Linked DNA regions of Xenopus tropicalis. The protein of the gene in region 1 interacts with the protein of each later gene in a pairwise test. Links are inferred from orthologs where the notes say so. Each region holds a gene or a part of one and is shown on either strand. Other genes may lie near its edges.

Region 1 (3,500 bases):
GCCCATATATGGCAGTTTACTATCTGGTGCTAATATCTGCCTATATGCAAGTGCACAGGAATTCTGGGAAGAGTCTTGGACTTGGTACACACTCAACAAGAAATATTTGGGAAACCTGTGTGAGATGTGTTGAGACTTAGTGATCTTCTAGCCATGCAAAAGCCAAGTGACAAAAACATGGTAGAATATGGCTCTCACTTTCTGCCAGCTGCTTTTGCAGTATGTGGAGTTCTTGCTGTACTTCTGCCAGAGAGAAGACTGGTGGGCCACTGACCATGGGAGGATGAGCACCAAAGGGTGGAAAAGGTGCACTGGGTGGAAGGGCAGCACTCAGCACATTAACTGAGCTAGGTGGAGGGATAAAATGTCCTGGAAGTGAAAGAAAGGGCAAGGCCGGACAATGTTGACATTGAAAGAAGAAACTAAAACAAAATGATATTTGGATACATATGAATCAATGTTGGCAGGCATGTGTAAAAAATTTCTCTCACATCCCAAAACTTTTTAAAATGTGTTCAGATAATGGTTTCAGACACTGCTCCTCATATCTGCCACAACATAAAGTAGCATGTTCCAGTCAGAGAGGAATCTGCACTATTCCCTTTGCGAGAGGAAAATGACACACCCGGGTATGATATAGTAATACACAATTGATCCCCGTACCTTGCAGAGTTTCTGCAGAGTGAGGCTGCGCTGATTTTACATGGAGCTTGGGCTGTTGCTGAACTTCATGAGAAGTGGAAAGTGATGGTTTTGCGGGGTGAGAAGCCACGTTATCGATATGAATGGCATCTATGGAAAGCAGATGGCAAATGAAAGATGACCATGATGGAGTTCAAGTGTCCCAAACAATCCACAAAATACTTATTGTCTTTAAGTTAGTTTGTAGGTTTAATGTATACTCTGCACACACACACATACTGTATATATATATACTATGTGTGTGTGTTTGTATTTATGCATATAAAGACTGTATCTTCAGTACAGTTCCTTACAGACCTAGCATCTTCCCTGAACTGTGCCATCTAAATCTATACAGGATATTACCTGCGACGTGGGTGCTTCTGGTATAGTCGCTGGCTGTGGCCACCTCTGAGCAGCCATCTAAATCATCATTGTTGGAAAGCTGGTCATCGGACACAAAAGAGGTCCTGTCAGATTGATCTGACTCAGAGATAGCATGGCTGCTGGATGGAGTAAGGGAATGGCCTTCGAGCTTGGACTGAAGAGACTCTATGATTTTGTCCTTTTGTTGAAGCTCTTTGCTAAGCCTGTCAAAAACCAAAGTGTAAGTCATGTAAGGAATGTGAATATGCACTAAATTGCTGAATTTGAATGGTTAAATAGATTTTCAGGACAGAGAGCATACAGGGAAAGGAAGCATGGAGCACATATTCCATATGGAAAGAAATGCAAAGGGTGTGCCAAAAAAGTAACAATGACTACCAAGGGTAGGACATTTGATTGTACAAGGTGAGAGTGACTGAACCATCTGATTAATAAGTCCATGCATGGCCCGGTGTGTGTGTGTGACTCGTGGCCACGCTGTGTGACATTATTGAAGGGGGCCCCAGAGTACAATATACAGTCAGTTGTGACAATTACCTGATGGCCAACAGCTCATGTCTGGATTTATCATCGACATCTGAACGTTCTTCTGAAAAAAGGGGAAAAAGAAAATATTAATTTTCAGCAGCTAAAATGTAATCATCGTAGGGAATCTACTTCCAATGAAACATACACCGGGAAGTGATCTCTTATTAAAAATCAAATTGGCAAATCCAGTGCTATGGGCAAATATGACAAAGCTGATAGGGTCCAAACTCGAAGTAATGACTTATACAGTACAACATATAGTTTAACAATTTAAACTACAAATGTGCATGAATCAAGTTGAAAAATTTAACAAATATTCATGGGCAATGTGTACTAATGAATCCATTACTGGCACTTATTCTTCTAAGTATAAAAAAAGGCTTACTGCTGTTGAGTTTATTGTTCAGTCTCTCTGCTAGCTGGGTCCCTTGAGTCAACTGTTCACGAAAGCCCTGGCCCATGTAATAGTCTATATCGTTGGCACGAAGAAGCTCCTCAAAGGATTTAATGGTGTCCCCTAGATGTTGAGTGAGTATATGGCAGACACTTCGGCCTTCTCGCAGTTTCTGCCTTAGAAGTGACAGCTCTCTAGCCTGAGCTTGAATTAGGGAGTCGTATTTCCTGTAAGGATGGACATATGTGTAACTAATTGGGATTTAAAAAAAAAAAAAACATGCAAAATATCATTATTGCAGACATTAGTGATTTTAGGCCCCTGACTTTTGCTTCATAAAAAAAAAAAAAAGCACGGCAGTTGGGGCCCGCTGGTCACCGTACAAGTCCTCCCCCGCCCCCAACCTCCAATGCCAGCTTCCCCTGTTGTTACACCCTAGTCTTAGATATTTTGTTTGTGCTAATGATCCACCTAGAACGCATCACAATAAAAATTTCAATCAGGTACTTTAATGTTCCAGCAGTCTGATAAAGTGAATATAAAACAAAGTGCAGTACAAAAAGTACCCATTTTTTAATCACATTTATTGTTGTGGAATGATAACTTACCCAGGCCATGTTGCAGATTTAATCTGATCCTGAGCACCAACATCTCTATGTGACTGATGGAGCTGAGCTTCTAGCATAGACACCCTTTGGACAAGCTGCTCTAAGTCTTTGGTAGAGTTAACACCAACTGTATCTGACTGCCAGCCTTCATCTTCATCTGTAATGCTGTGTGATGTGGAGCCATGAAAAGAGACGCTGTGCTTCAAGCGATGGTGGTTAGCATAGTCACTAGAAGCAGAGAATGAGCGTGCTCGGCTTTGTAGGTTACTTATCACCTTCTGTGCCTTCTGTAATTGTACTTTAAGGTTCTTGACATGTTGCTGAAGGACTGTGACATCCTCTGATTTCTCCCAGTCTAATGTCCAGTCATTCTGCCCACATTCATTGTTTTTCAAAGGTGAGCTAGTTACTAAGGGTGACCAGCCTTTATACGGAGAACTCGGCTCTTCCATAAGGCTGTTCTCACTAAACAATTCTTCATGCTCTTCATATTCTGCAGGCAAGAGACCAATTAGAAGGTTACAACATTAGAATGATGTGTAGATTTTATTTTTATAAAGTATTTCCTAACTCCTGAATTGTGTGGCATGGGATTATCAAAGGTTGGATGTATGTCCACTGATACCCAAGCAGCCTGCTTTTTCTTAAGCAAGTATTTGCTATAAAGTTGGCCTGCAAGCCCATAAGTAGACATGACCATTATGCTGGCTTAAGATTTAGGCTAAATGTAGAAGTTTAGTTCCTGACATTATTGTGCTATAAACACAATACAGAAATGCAGTAAAATAAACCTCCTGTGGGTGGAAAAATGTATGAAAATAATGACACAAAGAATTGTGCAATAACTACCATTATAATTTTGTTTGGAACAAGAAGGTTTCTGTTTACTTCTATCTCAAACA
Region 2 (4,042 bases), on another chromosome or scaffold:
ATGGGAACAGGGATTCCTACTTGTGTCTCAAGGCAGGACTTGTTAGTAGTTCTACTTTAAAGGATACTGGTTTCTGTAATGTTTCTCTATATCTTGTAGCCATTCTAACATGTCAGCTATGGAAGGACAGAGAGAAGAACGCTCCAAAATTGCTTCAAGACCAATTTTTTCAATGCTTGTCTCATACATGTAGAGGACAGATCCAACCACCTGACTTACAGAGTCCCTTATTCTCTGCAGCGTAGACCTGTAAAATTTAGCAATTGAAGAGTTACAAAATGTAGATAATCCTTGTATTCAGGAAATACTTTTTTTCAAGTGAAAATCTGATGCCCAGTTTGGCAACCTACAATATTTACTGCCTGTGATAATGCCCAACAATGTAAATAGCATTTTGTATTAGGCCATAAACAAGTCTGTACAGATTACACACATCCAAAAACCTAGACCTTTGGCTTTCATGTTTTAACTTGCTGTGGGTATGTGATTATTTTGCAATATCCTGCTGAGAGTAAAAGGTATAAAGTGATTAAAACTAGTACTGTGCAATTAGTAGTCACAATGTAATAATTTATTGTAGGAAAATATTAAACCTATTACTGATTTGGTTAGATTTTGTGGGAACCAAAAGGTAGTGATTACACAACTGACAATCATGTACTTCACACTGAAATACAACCAACCAGCTTGAGGTTATATTGTGGGGATATAAACCTTCCATACAAAATAAATTAACCTGTAACTTGTATGCAAGTGTGAGTATCAACGCCATTTCATATCTCTTCTTATTGAGGAAGAAGAAAATTGCTGCTAAAAATATAAGAATATTTATAAAGGCAAAACCTGCCGAGTACAAAAAAATGTGCATCCTATGAGAATGTATTGTCCAAAATCCATTCTTTTAGCAGTGTATCACTTTAGAACTAACAACTGCTATATCTACTCAGCAGAGTAGATTTAAGGTAAGGGAACATGGAGCGGATACTCTTTCTTTCACCTGCAGTTTTTACCCAGGCAGAGGAAAGTGGATCCACTGTCATGCGCTCCTTCCTGTAGAACCATTAACAGGCAGTGTCTGCCTGTGTGGAGCTACACATAGCGGATATTGGCGCAGAAACACTCAAGTATGCCTATTCGTGCTGATATCCGCTCAGTGTAGCACAATACACACTGAAGCTGTGTCAGTCAATGGAAAGATATCTACATTAAGTATGACAAGCAAGTAATTCAGTGTTTTCAGAACTGATGTACATGTAAAGTGATGCTTGTATCTTATCTAAAAATTTGCATGGTGATACCAGCACCGGAAGGGTTGAACCAACAACACATTGGACTTACAACTTCTGATTTAAGATCTCCAAATTAAACTCCATAGCTGCTTGTAGTTTAAAACGAAGATGTTCTTGCAGGTTAATAAAGCTGCTCAGGGGGGTTTTCTTAAACAGTACTCTCTGGCAGGCCTGTAGCTGTTCTGCTAGATTACTTAAAGAAGTTAGGTGTGGGTTACACTCTAAAAGTGTATTATTCCATTCTTCATGCAGTGGTTCTATGGCATCAAAGGACTTTCTCAGCGATTGCTGCACGGAAACAAAGGCTGGTTTCTCAGACATCCTATAAAACGATAAAACTGGTGAAATACATGTCATAAATCTGATGCTTTGCACTTAAAATAAAACTCAAGCCAACAAATCAGTTATACAGCGTTATGAATGCAAAAACACACAACACCTTTCTAAGTATTTAAACCCTTGAAAAAGATATACTCACATTAGCCTAGTAATATTTAACTCAGTATAGTAAAATGTATGCTGAAATGTCTTAGAGAAGTAGGCATATGTTTAAACTAAGTTGCAGCAAACATTTCTTAAAGGAGACATAAATTACATAAACTTTAATCTTGTAGACAATTATGAATAATATATGGGGCTGGTTTTACTTTGGTATAAAAATTAAAACTATCTGTAAGAACTGTCCCTTTTTGGAATTCCCTATAGATCCTCTCAGGTCCCTGTCCGTGTTTCAGATGAGAGGTGGGCATGTTCTAATAGTCCCTGCCAGAAGCACAGTAAAAGGGGGAGAGCCAATCACAGCCCTGCAGTCACACAGGCAAAGACAGGCTTCAGTTCCCTATCAGGTCAGTCTAGCTGCTGATTGGTTCCTATATAGTGTGCTGAGTGCCGCTGGCCTCCCCTGAACAACCTGGGAAAGGAGGTAGCCAGAAGTGGAACAGATAAATAAAATCAATAAATCAGCCCCAAACACTACTTTTTAAAGCACATTTCTTTTATATTTAGATGAGTACAAATCATTGGCACAATATGGTTTTTCACACAATATGTCCCCTTTATTTTAAAAACAATAGGCCAGATTATGGGTACATACCCGCTGGCATTTATCCGTGCGTTTTGATGTGTCATATCATGACAACCCAAGGGCCAAATGACTTCAGAGGGAGTGGACACCAATGCTAAAATTGCTTGCAAATCTATAATAGCAGCAATTAGGCAAACATTTGTTATCAGATTTGCTCTGACTCGAAGATTTTGGCACACATGCATAATTTATATTGTTTTAAAATCGCTTTATGTTGGCAATGATCAGTAATATGTGGCACCCGATAAAATCTAAGCCATAAAGTATTGTTAACTTTAACAAAAAAAACTGCTTAATTAGTTCTACCTATTATGGGAGTGGCTTTCTAGTACTTCCAGTGTTATGGGTATCAGTTTTTTTTGTTTTATTTTAAAGCAGGGGTAGGGAACCTATGGCTCGGGAGCCAGATGTGGCTCTTTTGATGGCTGCATCTGGCTCGCTGCCAAATCTTTAATAAAAAAAAAAATAACAGGGGGTGTGGCCTGCGCTCGGCAGATAGAAGACATGTTCTATACGCCGAGCACAGGCCACGCCCTCCTCCGCATTGCATCCAGCAACCGGCATCCTTGGGACCCACCCAACCTTGCCCCGCGGCCAAACATATTATAGGGAATTACATTTTAAAATATGTGGTGTTTATGGCTCCCTCAGCCAAAAAGGTTCCCGACCCCTGCTTTAAAGGTTAAACAACCTATGGCTACCTGTGCTGCATTTTTTCTTTTATTTTTTATACATAGTTGGTAAAAAAAAATCTATAGATATGGTACAGCTGGTATTTGTTTGCTGGAAAAGTTGGACCTAGACCTAGCAGTAGTTACTGCCAGGAGTTGTAAGGAACAGAGGCATTGTTGCATGCTTGGAACAGTGATTACAGGAAAAAATAAGTATATCCACCCCTATATTAGCAGTTACCACAGTGGAAGATGTTCTACATAACACTACCAGAATAACATTAATAAATCTAAGATTATTTTTATAAGGGCGAATCATCGGCTCAAATGTATATAAAAGGTGATATATTTCAGTATTGCTTTCAATTATTTACTAAGAAAAAAGTAAGGCTATCCGTATTACATTGATTCGTGTCCTTAAACAGCATTACAAACAATGTCATATATAATGTCATATAGAACAGAAAAGGTAAAATAAAAACAGCGTCAACTTCCCAATTCAAACGCACGTATTTCACCAGACCTGGAAAAGCTGCTTAGCTTGCCCGCTATCATTAGCACAACTGCAACGTGAATACATTCACCTTTTTTTTTAAAGCCGGAAATGGAAACCTACAGCCGCACGGCATGAAGGGAATTGTAGTTTAAAGTCTTGTTATTGCTATCGAGGTGACTGGCGCGACAATTGTTTATTCCTTATTTTCCTTGGTAACAATTGCAGTTTAAGTTGGTTTAATACCATAATTGTGCATGAGAGTAGCTAACGTAAATTTTGATTTGTCGGCGCTGCTATAAAGGATATTTTATGATAAATCGCTAGAAACTACAAATCCCAAAAATATTTAAATAAGAGGGAATTATTTCCGGATCGGAGGTAACGTTCGGTGGTTTCCGGTTTATAGAGAAGGTAGATTGCTTAACATTTTGGTTCTTCTCGGTGTGTGTTTGTGAAAAGATTATAGTGCCAGCATGAATGAGGAGGATGATAGGGGCAGGAA
Region 3 (4,187 bases), on another chromosome or scaffold:
ATTCCCAGTACACAGAGGCCCAAACAGCCCCCCCAGCCCAATAAATAGTGACTGTCTGTGGCATCTTACAGCAGCCCCTCTGGCATTCCCAGTACCCAGAGGCACAAACAGCCCCCCAGCCCAATAAATAGTGACTGTCTGTGGCACCTTACAGCCCCCCTGGCATTCCCAGTACCCAGAGGCACAAACAGCCCCCCAGCAGCCCAATAAATAGTGACTGTCTGTGGCACCTTACAGCCCCCCTGGCATTCCCAGTACCCAGAGGCACAAACAGCCCCCCCAGCCCAATAAATAGTGACTGTCTGTGGCACCTTACAGCCCCCCTGGCATTCCCAGTACCCAGAGGCACAAACAGCCCCCCCAGCCCAATAAATAGTGACTGTCTGTGGCACCTTACAGCCCCCCTGGCATTCCCAGTACCCAGAGGCACAAACAGCCCCCCAGCAGCCCAATAAATAGTGACTGTCTGTGGCACCTTACAGCAATCCATAGACTGCCATTTTGGGCCTGAGGGGAGATTTGTCACCCTTGGTTAAATCTGGGTTACTGTGGGTGACAAATCTCCCCAAAATGCTTTGCAACCAGCAGTAAAGTAAGTTGACAGTGGGAAAGCATATACAGTGCTTATTTCCTTGCCCGCGGCAGCCCAGATTTAGCCATGGGCAGAAAATCTCCCCTTGTGCCATAAGCCTTAGAGGGTACCTGCCATTTTGCTGGGGGGGGGGGATAAAAACTGCATTGTGGGTAAAAAAAGATAGCATAGTGACCTATTCATATCAACATCCAAGGGCACGGCTATCAATGGGAGCAGGGTGGCACGTTAAGTAGCATTCCTGCCCCACATTGCTGAGCATTACGTGCAGATTGGGCACTGTGTGCTTGGCATCTGAGTAACGTTCCTCTGTGCCATTGCTGTGCATCCTCCAGCAATATAGGGGAAAGTTAACTGGCTCCTGTTGATATTGCCCCCATGTCGGAGAATTTGTGGGTTCCTGCATGCTGTCAGTAAGCTGTGGAGAAGTTGTTACAATTTGTAACATCAATGTTTTAGTCCCTTCTCCCCTGCCAGGATTTCAAATGATGCAGAAAGAGAAGAACTGTTTTGCAGCTGGATTTCAGCATATAAAATGGTATTTATTCCTACTTTTTGAAGGAACAGATTACAGTGATAGGGATTTGGGGGGTTTCTGTGCTGTGTGGGGCTCTGTAACACATTTTGGCGCAGAAGCCAGAGTTCATCTTTAATATTCTGCAGACTTTATTATAAGCAAATAATTCCGATTTCCTATTTCTCTGAAATATTAGAACAGTACCTTGTATGAGATGGTAACTAAGCAGCACAGATCCATGTGAGTGGCAAAACAATCCTACTGGGTTTATTTCAGCTTTTAATTATTAAGTATGGAGATCCAAATAATGGAAATATACCTTCCCCAGGTCCCTAGTACACCTGTATAAGGATTCCTACCCTGGGCTGGGGTCAGATACAGATTAGAAAGTAGAAGGCAGAGTGCCAACGCTCTATACATCATTAGATCTGCTTCATACAACACAATGTACATATAAAGGGGCAGTTTACATTGAAATGAACTTTTAGTATGATGCAGAGAGTGCTATTCTGCAACAGTTTGCAATTGGTCTTCATTTTTAATTACTTGCAGGTTTTGATATATTTTTCTTTGTGTTCAACAGCTCCCCAATTTTACATTTTAGCAGCTGTATGGTTGCTAGGGTCCGATTTAACCTAGCAACCAGCCAGTGGTTTAAAAGGTAGATGGGAATATGAATAGAAGAGGGCCTACATAGAAAGATAAGTAATAAAAAGACACAATGGTGAAGGTGAAGCAGCGCTTTTATACAATTTATATGGAAGAATGAAAAGATGATATTTTCTCCCAATCAAAAAGCAAACCTTAACTGTCGCAAAAGGCTGTCAAGGGATGCTGGGAGTTGTGGTCCAATAACTTTAACTAAGCTCTTTGCCACTCTCTGTACTGTCCCTGGCACCAGATAGGAGCTAGGCCCTGGGGATGGGACACCAAGCAAGGTCACACCTACAGGCAAAAGACAAGTGGGGTTTATGCAGACAGGGGCGCTCTCGCAGGAGGGTACAATTAGCCACTGAGGCTAAAATAAACTTTAGGCCGTATACAGGCCGTGTGCCCCGGTGACCTAGCCCCATGCCGCCTCACAGTCCCTCGCCACTATAGCTTTCCATTCTACCTGCCAAAATATACATCGCTCATTGGCTTCACAGAACGTCCGTCAAAACAACTAACCACGTTATAGGTCTAACAGACGTCAATCTAACGCTAGCCCCGCCCGAGCAGCGTCATATATTTAACCAAGGGGTAATTGGCTAAAGTGCCAAGGACATTGGAATCTGATTGGCCGGTCAGCCTGCAGCTTGTTAAAGCGGTTGCCTGTAATTGGCTGGAGTGAAAGGAAGTCCTAGGCGCCGCTGACGGCTCCCAGCCTTGGAAGCCGGGGTCCCTTACTTCGTAAGGCTCAGTACTGCTGTTTCCCGGCCTTTAGGCGATATCCTGTCAGAATCCATCCCCGCCCATTCTCCCAACTAGAAGCTCCCTCACTGCAACACTGTGTACTCTTTCGCGCTATCCACTCACCTTGGCGAGCACCGCCGCCTGGGCCTTCCTGCACACCCGCAGCATGTTCTCCGGTGTGATGGGGAGGGCAAGCTCCGGGAGCGCTCTCAGTACGGCATGAATGGAGGCGCGGTCCGTGTAGCACCTCTAGCTCCGCCTACGTCATTCGCCGGGGTACGCCCACTATGGCATGACAGCTTGATTTTTTTTTTAATTCAACAGCTTTATTAATAACACTTCTGAGAACAAGATAGGGATTTGCGTATCCAATACGGGTCTCATGGCTGGGGCATGCTGGTACTTGTAGTTCCTAACAGGGATATCGTGTGTTGTGGTTTATCGCAGTGTTATAGAGTTTGTACCACATGACTTTTCGCACTACGTATTAATAAAGGGGACTTTCACCATGAAACTGGCTTTTGCGCAATAAAATGTGGTTAAAATAAACTTTACACTCTCTGTGCAGCTCTGTGATGGCTGAAAGCAGTGCCTGCCTGGTTACAGTCTGTGCACCGCGGGTTCTGACTCACAGCAATGTAGCAGAAGCAGCTGATACACCTAGAGAACTATCCTTTGCATAGTTTCACAAGTCACAGCTGTTTCTGTAATAACTTTGTGTAGAGTGTAAGCTCTTTTGGGCAGGGCTCTCTTCACCTCTTGTACCGGTTATTGATTGCTTTATATGTTACTCTGTATGTCTCCTTGTAGAGTGTAAGCTCTTTTGGGCAGGGCCCTCTTCACCTCTTGTATCGGTTATTGATTGCTTTATATGTTACTCTGTATGTCCCATGCATACCTCCCAACATTTGAAAAATGAAAAGAGGGACAAAAAGATTTGGTGCGCGCAGCGCGGCAATTTTTTTGACCACACCCTCTTTTGTGACCACGCCCCAATTACCACACCCCATTAAAAAAATACTCCTTTTATATAGTTAAAATGGCGGGATCAGACGCAAATGTGCTATACTCTCATACTGTACTGCCTAAGGGAAACATTATAGCAACTCCTACATATAAATACAAATATAGAGAGAAGGCAGTGAGTTATATGTGAGTTATAACTATGTACCAGTTTTGCCCCCCCATACACAGGTGCCCCCCATACACAGTGCCCCCATACACAGTAGCACAGCATGTCATGACACTCATTGTTGCACAAGCATTACAGTGTATGTATAAGGCATACATTACAGTGAGAAGTATAAGGCAATATCCTTTCAGCAATACTTTTAATAGAAAGCAAAATGTATTTTAGATATTAATGAATGCAGGGAGTTGTAGCAAACTAACATGGTTAAGCTAATTACCCTGCAGGTAGTATTATAGATGATACACTGACCACCATCAGGGTTTTGTCCTGTACCAGTAAGGAAGACTGGGGTTAAGGAAATGTTGGCCTAAAGGTTCAGGATAACTCTGGGTAGGGAGGTTATCAGAAGGAGACAGCTAAAGAGAGCTCAGCAGTGAAAGAGGTGTAGGGGGTAGCAGGTAAACAGCTTAGTGAAACTTGTACCGGGCAGGGCCGGATTTCTGTTTTGGGCGCCCCGAGGCCACCCCTGTCGGTCGTCCCCTCCCCACCCG
Region 4 (4,103 bases), on another chromosome or scaffold:
GGTTCCTAGAACACTGGGCTGACTTTTCTTTGGGGTACAATCTATACAGCCATGACCGATTGCTCCTTAATGGAATGGGGGTCCATTGTGCTGGGGAAAAAAAATGGCTAAGAGGCTGGAGGAGTGTTTAAAAAAGGCAGGGGGGGGGGGGTTATGGGAAAGCTAGTGTAGATCTGGCAGTGGGATAAGCAAGGATACATACATTTTACCAGCTAAGGAGATTCCTCTGTTACATGGAAAACCCCTAATAGTAACCTCAGATCTAACTCTTAGTTCTGTAATGTAAATATTAGAGGGAAAAATAGTAACCTCCACGGCATGCTGGCAAATGCACAGAGCTTGTCAGGGAAATTAGAAGAGCTGGAGTCTATTGAATGTACTGACAATTAGGATATAATTTGTATCACTGAGACCTAGTGAGATGAAACAAGTGACTGGGCTGTGAATATACATGGTTACACCCCTTTTAGGAGGGATAGAGGGATTAGAAACAATGGAGGGGTTTGTCATTATGTAAAGCCATATACTAAAGAAATTAGCAGAGACAGCAATTCAGTTTCATTTTGCTCTACTGGTTGCAACTATAGGTAAACTAAGCATTCATTCACACTAGGGATAAATGGGATGACTCAAAACCCACGAGAACCAAGCCCTAGAAGCGGGTTTAAGAGGGTGGCAGGTAAAACTGCAACCAGGTGATGTATTAATTCTAACCCATCTCCTGTGGTGACTGGTCCCACCCATATAAGAGTCATCGGAGAAGAACCACATAAAAGTTATAGTAGAAGCTGGGTTGGAAAACAGCAGGTTAGGGTTGAAAATGTTATGAATCACTCATCACTAATTTGTTTTTATTCAAAATCATCTTTTGACTAAAATGTACATATCCAGACCTGTTAAATTTCACAAATGATAGTGTATGGATAAAGTTCCGTAATCTTTGCTATAAAGTATTTCTATTAATGATTATTTTATTCAGGGGCTGGCCAAGCCGACCGGGCACCCTAGGCAACCCAATTGGCCACCCTGCACCCCACCTCTCATGTGTGTACATGAGAAAGTGCACTGACATCCCGGGTAGGATGCGAGAAAAGCAGCTGGGGCAATAGTGTGTGTACTAGGGGGTAGGCAGAAGAGGTAACTGTCACACCCCCACATCGTTGCTCCCTTCTGACTACCCCAAGTTCTGGCCCGGCTTTATTTGACCCATGTAACCCTTGGCGTCTCCAGATAGTTGCTACTTTACCTTAGTGGAGGGTTCTTATTCATAAACATTTCCATTGCCTTTTCATCTTCAGGGTTAATTTGTACCTCCTCGTTGAGGGTACCTTTCTCCAGACTGGCTGCCTTCTCCAATGAAGGCCACTCATCATCTTCAGAGTCTGAACCCTCTGCTCTGTTCTTGGAATCTGAAGGGCAAGGATTTACAAAAGATAATGATTGATTTGCCAATATACAAGCAAAGATAAATATGAAGAAATAATGACCTCTAATTTGTAAATAAGTTAATTCAGACTGTACTTAGTGAATGCTACAAGGTCTGTTTCTGTGGAGCACCGGTTCCAAACAATTCCCAGGGTAGGCCCAAGAGAACATGAAATATTTGTAATGCGAGTTAAGGGTCACAGTCTGAATACATTTAGTGCATGTTAGGCTATATTACACACTTTTTGTTCTAATTACAGCTAGTATAACTGAGCATACTGTACCTTGTCATGGCTAAATAGAACTAGAAAGCAGCACTGCCTGTATGGTACCTTTAATTTAAAAAGGGTCCTAAAAACATTTTTGATAAAATCAAATCTTAAAAATTAAGATGAAGGTGCAGTGTACAATCCATTTTTGCACACATGATTCCGGTCTTTTATAACATATACACTAAAGTATATATGCTATGTGGAGTATAATCATTAAAGGAGAATGCAAGTCAAAATTTAAAAAGCATACTGCCCAATAGTCCTCCTATTGTTTAGTAAAAATGCCACACTTTTGGCTCACCTAATCAAATATTTACTCAGTCACACTTACTTCACATATTCTAGAACAGGCAGCCATCTCTAAAAAGGTATTCTCCCTTCCTTTCCCTCCTTGCTTCATACTGCACATGTGTTTGCATGGAGATGCATCAGCATATAAAACAGCACATTAGATATCCTTCATTTTATCACAGAATGAAGTTAGCAAATTATTTATGTACAACTTTTCAAATATTCTTATATGTGTATGACTGTATCATATTATATACCTGGAATGTTCAATTTGAACCAGCTAATGAGCATTTGAGCATTTCTTTGGCCCCCAGTAGACTTTTTTTGCATGGCAAAATTTCAATATAATCTGGCCCTAAATGGATTACATTAATGGATTATTAAGACTGTCCCATACTCGTTTCTATGTATTTACAACTACAGCACTAGTTGTTGGTTATGACTCAGTCTAAAGACTCCCCACTGATTTTATATACCGGTTTAAAAACTTTTGTTTTGTATTCTGCCTTGGAAATGTTTCTTTACCCTTTTTTACCTAAAACAGTTGTCCTCTCTTTAGGGGTCACATTCCCCAGACTATATTCGGCCTCCAATTCCTCCTGCTGAATACGGGCCTGCTCCAGAATCCTTCGGGACAATTTCTCGTCCACGTATCCATCATCTTCGGCGTCGTCTGTAGGTTTCCCCTTGCGCTTATTACGGAACGAGGGTCTAATTTCTCCCTCCTGTTCGATCTGATCAGCTAAGGGGAGTAAGCGAGAAGCAGCTCCCCGAGAATTTTTGTGCTTTGGCATTTTCCTGACATACACGTGCATAGATCCACACACTGCGCATGCTCCTATTCCCCTGGCATCGTACGCCTCGATGTGGGACTTGCGTGAACCGCAAATAATGACAACAATTTTGAGCGCCGTGACGTCATAACACGTCGCTGTGTTTTGTACAATTAAGTACCAGCATGGGAGTGACTTGGTAAGTGTTTGTCATTTTTAATGTAGTAGTAGAAAAAGAAGAAACGTCATTTTGATGTTTGCAGATACGTGTTAACTTCTGGATTGTTTTTATCTTTTGTAAACTAAGTTTACGCTTACTTATTTGCATGACTGCTGCTTTGTTAATTATAGAAAAACGGAATCCTACGAATTCAACACTGCAGTGCAGTATCACACTAAGAATGCTATGGGTAATAGGGAGACAGTTAAAAGATATCCTTTTTTAAAAATCAACACTGTAAATATAACCTGTTGAAAATGTATTCTGCCTCTTATTTTCAGGATTTTTTTTTGCCTTTGTTAAGGAATAATAGAATTTTTTAATGATAATTTTGAACCCCCAATAGCGTTGCTGGTAAAAAAAAAAATGTGCTGGATGCCAATGTTATTAATAGGGTATAAAGTTATGAATATAGGAAGACTGATATACTATACCAAAATATATCTGTCTTATGTTTATCTTCCTTTCTTATAAATAACATTAACAATAGCCATGATTTCTTTTTTTGCCTAGGCAGCAACCATACTTCCTATTGCTGTATGATTGCCTTCAGCCTGCATCCTCCAAATGCCACCATTGTACATAACCCACAATGCATTGGAATGCTCCAGGAAAAGAAAATCACAGTAAATTGGATATAGATTTTCTCTTTTCCTGTTCACATTCTCATGGCAGTCCGCACAATTGGGAGGGAACATACACATACCAAATGCTGCAAAATACTTTACTTTTTTATTCAAAATCTGCAGAAGCAGAAACATTTTTTAATGCTTCACAAAAATATTAGGACACCTCCAAATTGCTGCTTTGAAAATCTTTTCTGGTGACGCTAAACCTTTGAGTGCCCATGATGCTGCCATACTGGATACATCTTACAATATACATGCCAGTGTTTGCTTAGCTGCACTGGTAATATGAAGAGAGATTTTGTTTTTCTTAACTTCTTTGCCCTCTTTAGAGTCATCTTAAAGGAACAGTAACACCAAAAATGTATATATTTTAAAGAAATTAAACTATAATGTACTGCTGCCCTGCACTGGTAAAAGTTGTGTGTTTGCTTCAGAAACATTACTAGAGTTTATATAAACCCTGCTGTGTAGACATGGGGGCAGCCATTCAAAA
Region 5 (3,500 bases), on another chromosome or scaffold:
GAGGAGATAATTTAAAATAATAAATACAGAGGACTCCTATTCAGAACACTTATAATGAGAGGGTTTATTCACTTGTGACTGCATCACAATTTTTCTAAAATGTAAAATATTTTGGCATTTATAAAAAAAAAAAAATTGTCCTTTCATCTCTTCAACTCCTGATTAAGAAATAATATTCCACAGAGACTATCTTATTTTTCCTTCAAATAAAACGTATTCAAGGGTTTTGGAAGGAGTAATTCCTCATAACCTTGCTAGGATCTGCCTTCTTCATTGACCTCTGCTATATATACCCAAGCAGGGACTTGAAGCATTTACTCCCCCAAGTATACATTTAAAAATCAAGTGGACCCTATGGCATACTACAGATGCAAAGATCCAAGGATGGTTAGGTATAAGGAACTCATTGAGCTACCATCAGTCAACCCTAACGCCAACATCAAAAAGCTAAAAGCAAAACTTCTGATATATGAACACAATGACCCTCCCCCCACAAGGCTTTGTTTAGGTTAAATACTTTCCTTACCTTTCGGATGCTACTAGAAATAATCTAAAATATTTAATTCACATTCATCAGCTTTAAAATGTTCATTTGTATTCTTCATGGCCATTAAATCAAATACAGCAAGTTGTAATTGATGTCCAACGAGAATTTAATCTTACAGAGGTACCCAGCGCTCCCCAGTGGACAGAGGGAGTATTTTCAGCACTTTAATACTAACCAGTATCTGCAGTACATGATGTCAGCCTACATTCTAGGTTTGGAGCTGTGTAAGTTACAGTCACACTGAATCCTACCCAGCCTGTTATTAAAGAATAAACATTGATGAAACATTCAAAAATTATTAATACTTGAAATACACCCAATCGGTCAAGCAATTATGTTACTATTTCATGCTGAGTTCTGTTAGCCCAGTTGGGGCACAATGGCTGCCATACCTCTTTTGCCCATGCTGGTTTCTCTGCAGGGTTTAGCCCTTCTTTGTAATGATAGAGTGGTTTCTTCTCAGATGACCTCTGTTGCTGCTGTTGTTGTTGCTGGAGAGAAACTAGGTAATCTCGCTCTTGCTGAAGCTGTCTCTGAAGTCGCTCTGCTTGTCTCTGTTCTTCCAACTGCTTACGCTTATACTCCTTTAAGGAAAGGTAGGTAAAAATCAGTCACAAGGCAGATGTTGACTCTTTGGCCCATTTCTAATTGTTGCAACCAACCCACCAGAGACTTTTCTGAATAGGTTTGTTTTTCTCCACAAAATAGAATGCCAAGATGTTTGACCTTATTATAGGATGTCAAGTGAAAATAAAAAGAAAGTATTTAAAAGGTAGGAATCTGAACTTTGTGGAGAAAATGCAAAAACAGTGGCAAGTTAGCCTGGAAAGCAAACTACACTCAGACTTGCTCCAACATAAACAAAAAAGTGGCCTCTCCAATAAAGCATAAGAAATTCTTTAAGGGTGTTATCTTAAAAGGTGAAGTTAAAACGTTTTCAATTCACGACTTGGTTTTTAATAAAGGCTTATTTAAAACCAGCTACATTATTTCCATTGTAAGTAAAACTGGGATGTTATGTGGGTTTAAATAAACAGGAAAAAAGAACATTTTGTTTCACAAATCGTTTTAATGACGTAACAGGATGGTAACAGTCTTTGATATCAAAGAAGGTGATTTCAGCTGGATACGTATAATAAGTTTGTCCCACTGACTTCCCATCTATGATAATTGCTGTTGTTGGCAGAGGAATGGTGTGCCTACGGCATATGAACAACCCGCCAAGTCATACGCGGCTATGCAAGAACCACTGAAGCATCCTTAGTCCTTTTGCTCAATGCTAATTCTGCAAAGCCTAAAGCGAGCACAGCTCTCCTAGGGAGCACAACAGCCATAATTCTGCTTCATGAGAACAAAGGTGTGGGTTTGTGAGGCACAACAGCAACTGACAGCTTTGCTGAACAAAAGGCTACACAGCATTCCATTACCTTGCAGGCCAAGGCTTTACAAGCCATAATTACATGCAATGGCAATGCGCAAGGAATAAACTTATTTCTAGACATGATTCATTTGCCTTTAGTTGCAAATCTGTTAGCCTGGCCCTACTTTATTAAAGTGATTTTTATGGCATAGTTTTTTCACTAAATTACACTGTTTACATTGCAAATAATTCATTTTCACTTTTAAGAAATGTCATTATTGAACCAATAATGTATTTTTAGTAGTAATATGTAGGCAGACATCTAGGGTCATTGTGCCTGAGCCTGCACTAAACAATAAAACTGCTTTCAGATAAGCTATGGTTTGTAATATTCAAAATTATTTCCCAACTTGGCTTCCTATTTCTCCTGCTTGGATACTATTCTCATAACTACCACTACGTAGCGCATGGGAGCATTTTTAGCAATGCAAATAATTTCTGACTTCATTTTGATATATACGGCATTGAAACCTGCTTTCTCCAAGCTTCAGATAACCTGCTTTTTGAAGGGTGAAGGGGTCTGTGCTGTGAGGAACCAATCCTTCTCACTATATTTAATATATTTGGTTTGTATATTTGTATATAGTTTGTTTGTGTTATCACTATATATAATAGGAGCATGGAGGAGCAATCACCAAACAAAAAGACAACATGCAGAAGACAATCCCATTTCTGCATATTATATATATATATTATGCTTGTTTGGATCATTGACAACCAAAAAGCGGACTAATCTCGAGTTTAGATTTGAGTTGTTACGAATATATTTTATTGTTCTATTCATCTGTCATTATCGGGTGACCTGACCATTTAAGGAAATATATTAAGCAAATGTTGCAGTAGTACAAATGTTAGCAGAAAGTGAAAATGCCTGAATTTATAATTCATTAAATGGCCACTATACTCTGGAAGAATAGTGATTAGTACAGGGGCATTTAGATCACCGTGACTCTCCCTGAAAGGATTATGGCACTCTGGCATGCTATCACATTTATAGGAAAAAAAAAAGACACAAATGTATTGTAAAAATCTAATGCGAAAAAAACCCTTTAGTTCCAAATCATGAAAACCTATTTTAATATGAAGAAGATCCTCTCTGTATTATTTTTAATGAAACATATTGGTACAAAGTATTTTAATGAGTGCAACAACATGCAAGGCACTTGTTCTGAAAGATGAGAACTTTGGACATATGACCAAGAAGTAGTAGGTAATGCAACACACAATGGCAGGAATGAACTGGGGAATGACTCCCATTACCAGAAGTAGAGCTTGCTCCTGCAGTAACTGCTGTTGCAATATCTCTAACTGCCTCTGCTCCTCCTCTAATTGTCGCCTTATGTATTCCTGGGTTGTGCAGCAGTGAAAGAGAAAGAAACGAGGAGAAAGAAGTGATTGAGCAAAAGAATTGTTAGTACCTTAGACACCAATTACCAAGAAAGAAACATAGCGGGTATTCAGAGCAGAGAGTACACCAGTTAGAGAGATAAATTCATGTTAAACCATACATTTATACAATGCTGCCCAGTGTTT
Region 6 (4,042 bases), on another chromosome or scaffold:
GAGTTCAATTAGTAGGGCTTGTGCTAGTTGTACTTTTTGCATATTGTTTTAAAAGACACCTCTCCTCCAACAGAAGAATCTTCAGAACAATTCTGTGAATTATTCCTCTGTCGTTGTAGCTTTCTTGAATAACAAAGGGGTTATGTACTGTACCACACACACAATACATTGTGTAAAGTGCAAAAAGGCATTAAGTGTCGCACTCTTGCACATGTAACCTGGGGATTAGAAAATGAGCACTTAAATTAGCTTGGAAGCCTTGCTGTGTTGGAAAAATAGATTGATTCTCTACTGGGTACCATTTGGTTGTAGTTTCCCAAGGGATTTATTTGTTTTCCTGGTTTCTTACTACTATATATATATATATATATATATATATATATATAATATGTAAATAAGGGATGATAATAATAGTACTCCTGTTTTTTAGGAATGAAACTGGTTGCTGATCTTATAGCATTTCATAGCAGTGCATGGATAATGGTCAGAATGAATTATTGTGGATAAGGTTGATAATAAGATGTTATCATTACCAGTAACCAGAATGGGTCTGCAAAATGTAATTATCTAAAGGTTCCACATTCTTTAGTTACAGTTATGAATTGGAGTATTTAGGGCATAATTACATTGTCCTTCCACTGACCAATTCCCTGGGTTGAAAGGAACCATCTACATAATATAGTAAATACTAGAATTCAGTTTTGGTAAGGCTTTGTAATATTTTAGCTGTTTAGTGTTATTCTTCTCTTCTTACTGTCATTAGTAATTGGAGAGAGCGCTTAAATGCTTGCCTGTTACATATCTGCTATCACCTTAGTGACTGCAAGCTTGTTGTAAGAAATATTTATTGTGGCAAGTGCAGATATTTAGCAATAAATAATTCAGCACAGCAGGCATACAGCAGCTGCTAGGGTAAGGTAGCAGATCATTTGCATGTCTGTAGTAGACGATATTACTCTTTTTTGTTGGTGGTGTTTTGTGGGCAGATTTGATTGTTGCTTTCCAGCACCTACATTACAAATGAAGGTGACGGGAACAATAATTTTCCGATGCAAGGCAGACCTCTTAATCTCAAATATTTCTGTTGATAATGGTTCTCATTGTTTGCTCGAGCAGCAGTCGGATTACAAGTGGTCCAGCTTGGGGAGGCTGGCTACGATTATTCAATTTTCACACTGACAAATCAGGCATGTGGAAAGGAAAGACGGGAGGAGGGAGGTGTGGAGGGTGTAGGGGAAGGGAAGAAAAATACGGAGGACATAGGTTGCTCCTACTGAGTAAAAGTATTAATCTCTTATTTTTTACCCCTTCTAAAATTCCTTCTGTTTATGAAGAGCTGATAGGTGTGGTTTCTCTGGTACCTGCTTTGAATGCTTTGATTCCATCAGGTTGTTACATATGCACATACCTCTCAGGGGATTTATTTGGCAGTTATGTACTGAAGAAGAGACTTGATTCCTTTTTTATTGTTTATACACGCACAGATATCATTCCTGTTGGACTAATTTTGGGGAGCAAAGGTTAATGTAAGTATTGCATTTACATCTATATAACATGCCATGTAGGATATTAAGTGTATTTATTCTGCTCACTATGAGCTTTTTTAAATGTTCTATCTGGCATTTTCACCCAGACCTAGTTTAAGCAGCTGACAGTTGCTCACGGGATAGCTTGTCACCTGTGTCCTTAATGCAACGGAGAATGATGCACATGGTTGTTTGTCTTATATAAGGAGAATAGGAAGTATGAAGGTTTCTGTGGGTTAAATGCTCAATTTTATCTTTAATCTTTTTGCCTGTGTGAAGTACGGTATATTGTGTCTGTTTCTCTCCCATTCCCTTTCTCTGACTCTCCCTCAACCACCCCCACACAAACTCTCTCACACATACACAGCACCACTCTTGCATACAAACACACTCAAATATTCATTCTTGCACACACACTCATACATATCTGTATAAAGAGAGACTCTCACAATCACAGACATACATACACTTTGATCTTCATCACCTATCAAACATCTTAAATAATTAGGTACATTTTAACAACAGGGATTATCTTTTTTCCTTAAGAATAAAGTTTTTGTTGGATTAAAAATAATTATTGTAAAGCTTTTTCATCCTGACAACAGCTATTGCATTATTATTTACAATATTTTGGTAAGTTACAGACCTTTGTAAAATACTACCATCATAGACCGACTCGTCCTGTTGAAATACTCTGTTGCATGTTGTAATGTAGTAAAGAAGTATTAGACAAATGGCGTTTCATGTTTCAGAAATCCATTTTTGGCAATATAATACATATATATAGCATATCTTGCTGATTGGACTGATTAAGGATAGACAAGGGTTGCACCGAGAGATTGTTTTTTAAATCCTATACTAATCAGTTACAGATATTTTATTTTGTAGATGCTGTTCAAATGTAATGAGTTACACTATAATCAAATGACCTGTCCTAATGTGTTTGTATGCATTTGTCTTTTGCAGAGCCACTAGAATAAATTTATTAGCTATGGATGTATTCATGAAAGGGCTTTCTAAAGCTAAAGAGGGTGTTGTGGCAGCTGCAGAAAAAACCAAACAGGGAGTGGCAGAAGCAGCAGGAAAGACAAAAGAGGGTGTTCTCTACGTAGGTAGGTAAAAAACTAATCAATATAATGTCATCTGTTCAATTACAATCCTTATCTCCATTTTTCATCACCCTGCAAAAAACACAATAGGATCTATCATTTGTCTTCCGTGTCCTTGGAATACAAATGCAAATACCCTTTAACATTTGTTTATTGTGTAGAAGTTTGTAGCAGTAGTTGTCCATGGCAGAATGGATCTGTAACCCCTGGAGATCACAGAGGATCTCCTTGGTGGTAAATCCCATACATGTCTGTTTTAGAAGCAATAGCCCACTGTACAGTTTTGTAAGCCACAAGACAGACCACTACAGAAACTGTAGGCTTGATAATAGATTGCCCAGTTCTAATCACATTGTAGCCTGTTACACATATTCTTTACATTATGATTTTACAAAGTGTTGTTTCTTTTGAAGGTATATTGCAAATCTAATTTACACAATACAAATAAATAATGACTAAATTTAAATGCTACTCTTTATAATGACAATTAAAAAATTAGGGAGAGGGATAGAAAGAACATAGTTCAATATATTCTACAGATCTGTAAAATAGAAGGGTGAACACATCAATATAGTTCTCCAAGTGCTCAGGCAAAGGAAAGAGGCATAGGAACCAGACCAGAAAGGTCAACTAGGGAAGATTATGGGACACACTGCCCCCTGAAACCTACAAAAGACCTGAGTTGTGGTCCAGTACACTACATTTTAATAATAACACAAAACTAAATGTCCTTAGTTCTCTTGTGTAAACCCTACATGTTCCTATTATGTATATAATTTGGGTACATCTCCCTCACTCAGACAGCATCATTTGTACTGCATATATCCCCAAAGTTCACCAGCACCATATTATTTTCCTAAAACAGATAGTAGCTTTCACCCACCCGCCATTATTAGTGATGTATTTGCAAACAGCAACTTTATGCTGTAAAATTCATGCAACTGAGACTGCAGGCTTACACAGGCAAAACTTACTTTGATAAACATTTTTGGTTGGTTTGAGCACTCTAATGTTTAATCTGAGCTCAGAAGACATGGCTAGGAGAAAAATAGAAGCAGACAGCTAGAGCAGAGCTTCTATGGGAACCAGCAATGCCATCTCCTAATTGTCTGCTAGACTGGAGAGTCTAGTAATCTGAGTTGAGAAGAACTGAGCATGCCCAGTAGCCAACAGTCAAAGCATATTCCTGAGGAAGGGGGCTGAGTGGGTTACAGAAGAAGAAGGAATCCTAAGTGATTAACGGGATGCTGCAGCCTTACTATTAACCTTTTAACAACAAGAGTGACATGTAGTTAAATATTTCAAAGAGGCTGCTTACTTATTACATGTTTGTGGGGGGTTCACGTGTCCTTTAAAATTAAAATATGTACATAGAATAAAGTTTGCACAGTGCACATATTTATAGTC
Region 7 (3,500 bases), on another chromosome or scaffold:
GTAGAAGTGTCTAACCACTCTGTGGGAGCCAGAACTCTTAATGGTTGGTAGTGGTTCAAAAACTTATTTCACTCAATGAAATGCAAATCAGTTGCTATCTTTTATTTAAAGTTATTTTTTCGATTTTCCTTTTGATGTGCTATCTGCCACTGTTAAAATAAACCTACCATTGAAATGATACTGTTCTGAGACTTTTCATTTCTTTGTCATTGGACAAACTTACAAAATCAGTGAGGGGTCAAATAATTATTTCCTCCACTGTAAATTAAACAACTTTTTTTCAGCATTACCTGTGCCAAGCAGAAACCATTTTCCAACCTTACTTTTCTCTGTGATGGATTCAGGAACTTAAAGTCCCTCCCAACACCAGTTACCACTATCTACAATATGCAGCTCATTTTCAATGAATGCCCCTATTTGATTGGGCTGCGGTATTCCATATGACACGCCTACTTGGCACTATGCTTTGCCATCCTGTACAAACCTGAGGGGAAGGCAGAACTAATTTGCTTCTCTTCTTAGTAAGTTCCGAGACTCCCCCAGTTGTCTGAAGAATGGCTGATGGCAAATCAGATTCCTTCTTCCTTTTAATGTTCTGTTTGTCTTTCTTCCGGTCTCTTGCTTCCTTTTCTCTGATTGATCAAGAAAGGAATAACAGGTTGAATTCCCCTTTCAATGACATGTCAGTATTACCCAAAACCGATTGATATCTCTAGCTTAGCATTACATTTTTGTAGCCTTACAATATAACTTCTACTACCTATGGGGTTATGTAATAAAAGGCACAAAGTTTGCCAAGAAGCAGTAACCCATAGCAACCAATCAGCAGGTAGAATATACTGGTCACCAGTTTAAAAGCAAAGATCTTATTGATCGCAATGCGTTACTGCTTCTGGGCAAACGTTATGCCTTTTATGGGGGGATATTGCGCAACTGTTGGAATGAAGCAATAAGGCAGTTCCCTGATATATTCAGAAATACATATTAGCAGACAGCAAAACATACGATCTGAGGTCGCCATCCAGGTCTTGCTGGCGGAGTTTTCTGAAGTCGGCATTCAAGGCATCATAGTTTTCTTCAGATGTATTATAGAACCCGGGGGCAGGCTTCTTTTCAAATGGGATTTCGGCGTTGTAGTCCACGCCGCGCTTCTTTTTCCTCTTCTTCTGAATTTCGATTCCGGCAGCTCGAAGCTCTCTCCTCTTCTGTAGGGCTGCAAGACGTCTGGAAAAAGGGTAGAAAGGGGCTGAATACAAGATTTCCAACCTGTATACACAGTGTACCCAAATATATCCATTCCATGATATTGACAAGATACGGGTGCTGAGTACAGGTACTAACCACTTAATTATAAGTAAACCTTTTATTTTAACATCCGCTAAAATTACTCTAAATATCCCCCAGAATAGCAAACCTTTCTCCCTGCACGCAGATTTATTTTTCTCTTCAGCAGCTGAATAGCAGTTTTAGTTATTTCCTTGTCTAGCATGAAGCTCCACCCCCTTTTGCTTTCTGAGCCCTCCTTCTCTATCAGATGCCCTACAGGGCATGCTCACTGCCTCTGCTCCATACTGCGCATTCCTGTTTAAATTTAATTGGAGCAGAGGCAGCGAGCATGCCAAGTAGGCACCCTTTTTGAGGTCATCGTAGTCAGAGAGAAGGGAAGCAAAAGGAGGCAGAGTTTTACACAAGACAAGGAAGTAACTAAAAGAACTGCTGTTCAGCAGCTTGTAATAGAGAAATAAAATTAATCAGCATGCAGGGAAAAAGGTGTTTTATTTTGGGGGCTGTATAGTTATTTTAAAAAGAAAAAAAAAAGATTTATTATTTCAAAGTAATTTGAAGTGCTTATGATGCCACATGAATAATCTCCATTCATGCAGACACAATGCTAGAAGCGTAAGAGATAATTAGGGTGTGCAGAGAAACACGGTACCTGGCTTCTTCCAGCTGCTTTTCTCGTGCTTTCCTCTTGGCTTTTTTGCCTTGAGTGTTGGCAAGACGAGCTCTAGCCTCCGAGAGCATCTCAAGCTCATCTGAAATAAAGATGTATCACTGTTAATTCAAAGGGGCAGACCAGCTCTTGTTAATCAAGAGCCCCCTATTTCATTTCATATCCCAAATCCATAAATCCTACCCTACTGCAAAACAAGCAGATGCATCTTCTTTCCATCCAAGCTTGACAACAAATGTCTTCATGTACTGATAAGTATAGCAGCAATCATACCACCCCCTCCCCCAACAGCATCTTATTCACTGGCCTCCAAAAACCCTAACTGTGAAAGAAGGTTACCTTCATCCATGTCCACTGGATCTGGCCTTGCTGGCTTTGTTTCAGGATTTGGATCAATTTCTCCTGGCTTAAGCTTGCGAGGATCGTCTGCGGACTCCTCCTCATTGTCACGTTGCGCAGCTTTATCTCTAGATAAATAAGACCCATATTCACAGTTAGTTTTATTCAACCTTAAAGAACTACTAAACCCTACAAATTAATATGGCTAGAAATGCCCTATTTTGAATAATGAACTTATTGCACCAGCCTAAGGGTTCAGCATCTCTATAGCAGCAATGATCCAGGTCTTTACAGTTGTCACAGGGGCTCCCCATGTTGGATTTTATCAAAAGAGTCTGAGACGCGCACATGCTCAACGGACTCTGGGCAGCTGTTGATAAACTAAGCTTAGAGGCTGTCAGGAAATATTAAGCAGAATATATATATATATACACACATATACACAAAGTATAGTGTGAGTGGGTACCTAAGCTAACTGGGGCATCTTTGGGGGCACAGATCTTCCCTGCTAAAGGGCTGTGGGTGCCTTGGGCTGATACAGGAGCCCTAAACATAATGTACAACATTTCTATTTTATTTCTTTAGTTCTCCTTTAAGGACATGGGCAAATGTTAGAGTAACCTAGAATATATTGTAATCTTTTGTCAACCCCCACCCCCAGGACTTCTAAAGAGTCACTCCTGCTTGAGTCTGCAGCTTATAGATGGGACCAAAAAATGGCTTCCATGACCAATAACTGGGCCTTGGCTAGATATAACTCAGACTGTCTGAAAACTTTTATTGTGCCATGAACACTGTCCTCCCCCAAGTGGTCTGCAACAGCTCCCTGTGTGAGCTTATCATTGGTCCACAGGCCAAACTATGTGGCCTACCAGCAGTGAGGCCTAAGCAAGTAATATTGCACTTATTTGGCTTCGTCACCAGTCAACTGGATCTTAAAGGAACAATTCAATGTAAAAATGAAACTGGGTAAAGTAGACATACTGCATAAAATAAAAATGTTTTCAATATAGTTAGACAAAAATGTAACTCTACTTTCCCCTTTACAGCTCTCTAAGCTGTTAGCAGTCAGTAACCAATCAGTGACTAGAGGTGGGGCCATATGGGACATAACTGAACAGTTGTGTCCCATGTGGCCCCACCTCTAGTCACTCACTAAGAGGTTAGAGAGCTGAAAGCAGGAAGTAGTGTTCTGGCTATTATGTTA

Evidence for each region.
Region 2: the proteins of pde4dip (region 1) and c1orf109 interact in binary tests that used the Homo sapiens proteins (3 or more experiments, as listed by UniProt). The two-hybrid records come from large-scale screens. The link is inferred for Xenopus tropicalis from reciprocal best matches to the Homo sapiens genes PDE4DIP and AIRIM.
Region 3: the proteins of pde4dip (region 1) and immt interact in a two-hybrid assay, tested with the Homo sapiens proteins (2 studies listed by BioGRID and IntAct, with this or other methods). The link is inferred for Xenopus tropicalis from reciprocal best matches to the Homo sapiens genes PDE4DIP and IMMT.
Region 4: the proteins of pde4dip (region 1) and bysl interact in binary tests that used the Homo sapiens proteins (3 or more experiments, as listed by UniProt). The two-hybrid records come from large-scale screens. The link is inferred for Xenopus tropicalis from reciprocal best matches to the Homo sapiens genes PDE4DIP and BYSL.
Region 5: the proteins of pde4dip (region 1) and tnik interact in a two-hybrid assay, tested with the Homo sapiens proteins (2 studies listed by BioGRID and IntAct). The link is inferred for Xenopus tropicalis from reciprocal best matches to the Homo sapiens genes PDE4DIP and TNIK.
Region 6: the proteins of pde4dip (region 1) and snca interact in a two-hybrid assay, tested with the Homo sapiens proteins (2 studies listed by BioGRID and IntAct). The link is inferred for Xenopus tropicalis from reciprocal best matches to the Homo sapiens genes PDE4DIP and SNCA.
Region 7: the proteins of pde4dip (region 1) and cdc5l interact in a two-hybrid assay, tested with the Homo sapiens proteins (2 studies listed by BioGRID and IntAct). The link is inferred for Xenopus tropicalis from reciprocal best matches to the Homo sapiens genes PDE4DIP and CDC5L.

What each region holds. Positions count from the first base shown.
Region 1 is NC_030680.2:118,185,742-118,189,241, reverse strand, and holds part of pde4dip (myomegalin), read right to left. Parts: intron 3,092-3,500; coding exon 2,599-3,091; intron 2,218-2,598; coding exon 1,982-2,217; intron 1,658-1,981; coding exon 1,606-1,657; intron 1,272-1,605; coding exon 1,048-1,271; intron 793-1,047; coding exon 664-792; intron 370-663; coding exon 199-369; intron 1-198. UniProt on the Homo sapiens protein: Functions as an anchor sequestering components of the cAMP-dependent pathway to Golgi and/or centrosomes.
Region 2 is NC_030678.2:86,154,160-86,158,201, reverse strand, and holds the start of c1orf109 (uncharacterized protein C1orf109 homolog), read right to left. Parts: upstream 2,801-4,042; 5' UTR 2,559-2,800; coding exon 2,383-2,558; intron 1,612-2,382; coding exon 1,339-1,611; intron 248-1,338; coding exon 68-247; coding exon of another isoform or gene 52-67; exon of another isoform or gene 21-51; intron 1-20. UniProt on the Homo sapiens protein: Part of the 55LCC heterohexameric ATPase complex which is chromatin-associated and promotes replisome proteostasis to maintain replication fork progression and genome stability.
Region 3 is NC_030677.2:17,822,759-17,826,945, forward strand, and holds the start of immt (MICOS complex subunit MIC60), read right to left. Parts: upstream 2,801-4,187; 5' UTR 2,673-2,800; coding exon 2,628-2,672; intron 1-2,627. UniProt on the Homo sapiens protein: Component of the MICOS complex, a large protein complex of the mitochondrial inner membrane that plays crucial roles in the maintenance of crista junctions, inner membrane architecture, and formation of contact sites to the outer membrane.
Region 4 is NC_030678.2:70,761,285-70,765,387, forward strand, and holds the start of bysl (bystin), read right to left. Parts: upstream 2,801-4,103; 5' UTR 2,783-2,800; coding exon 2,524-2,782; intron 1,410-2,523; coding exon 1,247-1,409; intron 1-1,246. Other genes in the region: med20 (mediator of RNA polymerase II transcription subunit 20), read left to right, coding at 2,947-2,960. UniProt on the Homo sapiens protein: Required for processing of 20S pre-rRNA precursor and biogenesis of 40S ribosomal subunits. May be required for trophinin-dependent regulation of cell adhesion during implantation of human embryos.
Region 5 is NC_030681.2:111,604,333-111,607,832, reverse strand, and holds part of tnik (TRAF2 and NCK-interacting protein kinase), read right to left. Parts: intron 3,315-3,500; coding exon 3,228-3,314; intron 1,132-3,227; coding exon 940-1,131; intron 1-939. UniProt on the Homo sapiens protein: Serine/threonine kinase that acts as an essential activator of the Wnt signaling pathway. Recruited to promoters of Wnt target genes and required to activate their expression. May act by phosphorylating TCF4/TCF7L2.
Region 6 is NC_030677.2:78,431,629-78,435,670, forward strand, and holds the start of snca (alpha-synuclein), read left to right. Parts: upstream 1-1,242; 5' UTR 1,243-1,526; intron 1,527-1,928; exon of another isoform or gene 1,929-2,034; intron 2,035-2,074; exon of another isoform or gene 2,075-2,159; intron 2,160-2,492; 5' UTR 2,493-2,517; coding exon 2,518-2,638; intron 2,639-4,042. UniProt on the Homo sapiens protein: Neuronal protein that plays several roles in synaptic activity such as regulation of synaptic vesicle trafficking and subsequent neurotransmitter release.
Region 7 is NC_030681.2:148,158,413-148,161,912, forward strand, and holds part of cdc5l (cell division cycle 5-like protein), read right to left. Parts: intron 2,422-3,500; coding exon 2,294-2,421; intron 2,037-2,293; coding exon 1,937-2,036; intron 1,225-1,936; coding exon 1,006-1,224; intron 633-1,005; coding exon 485-632; intron 1-484.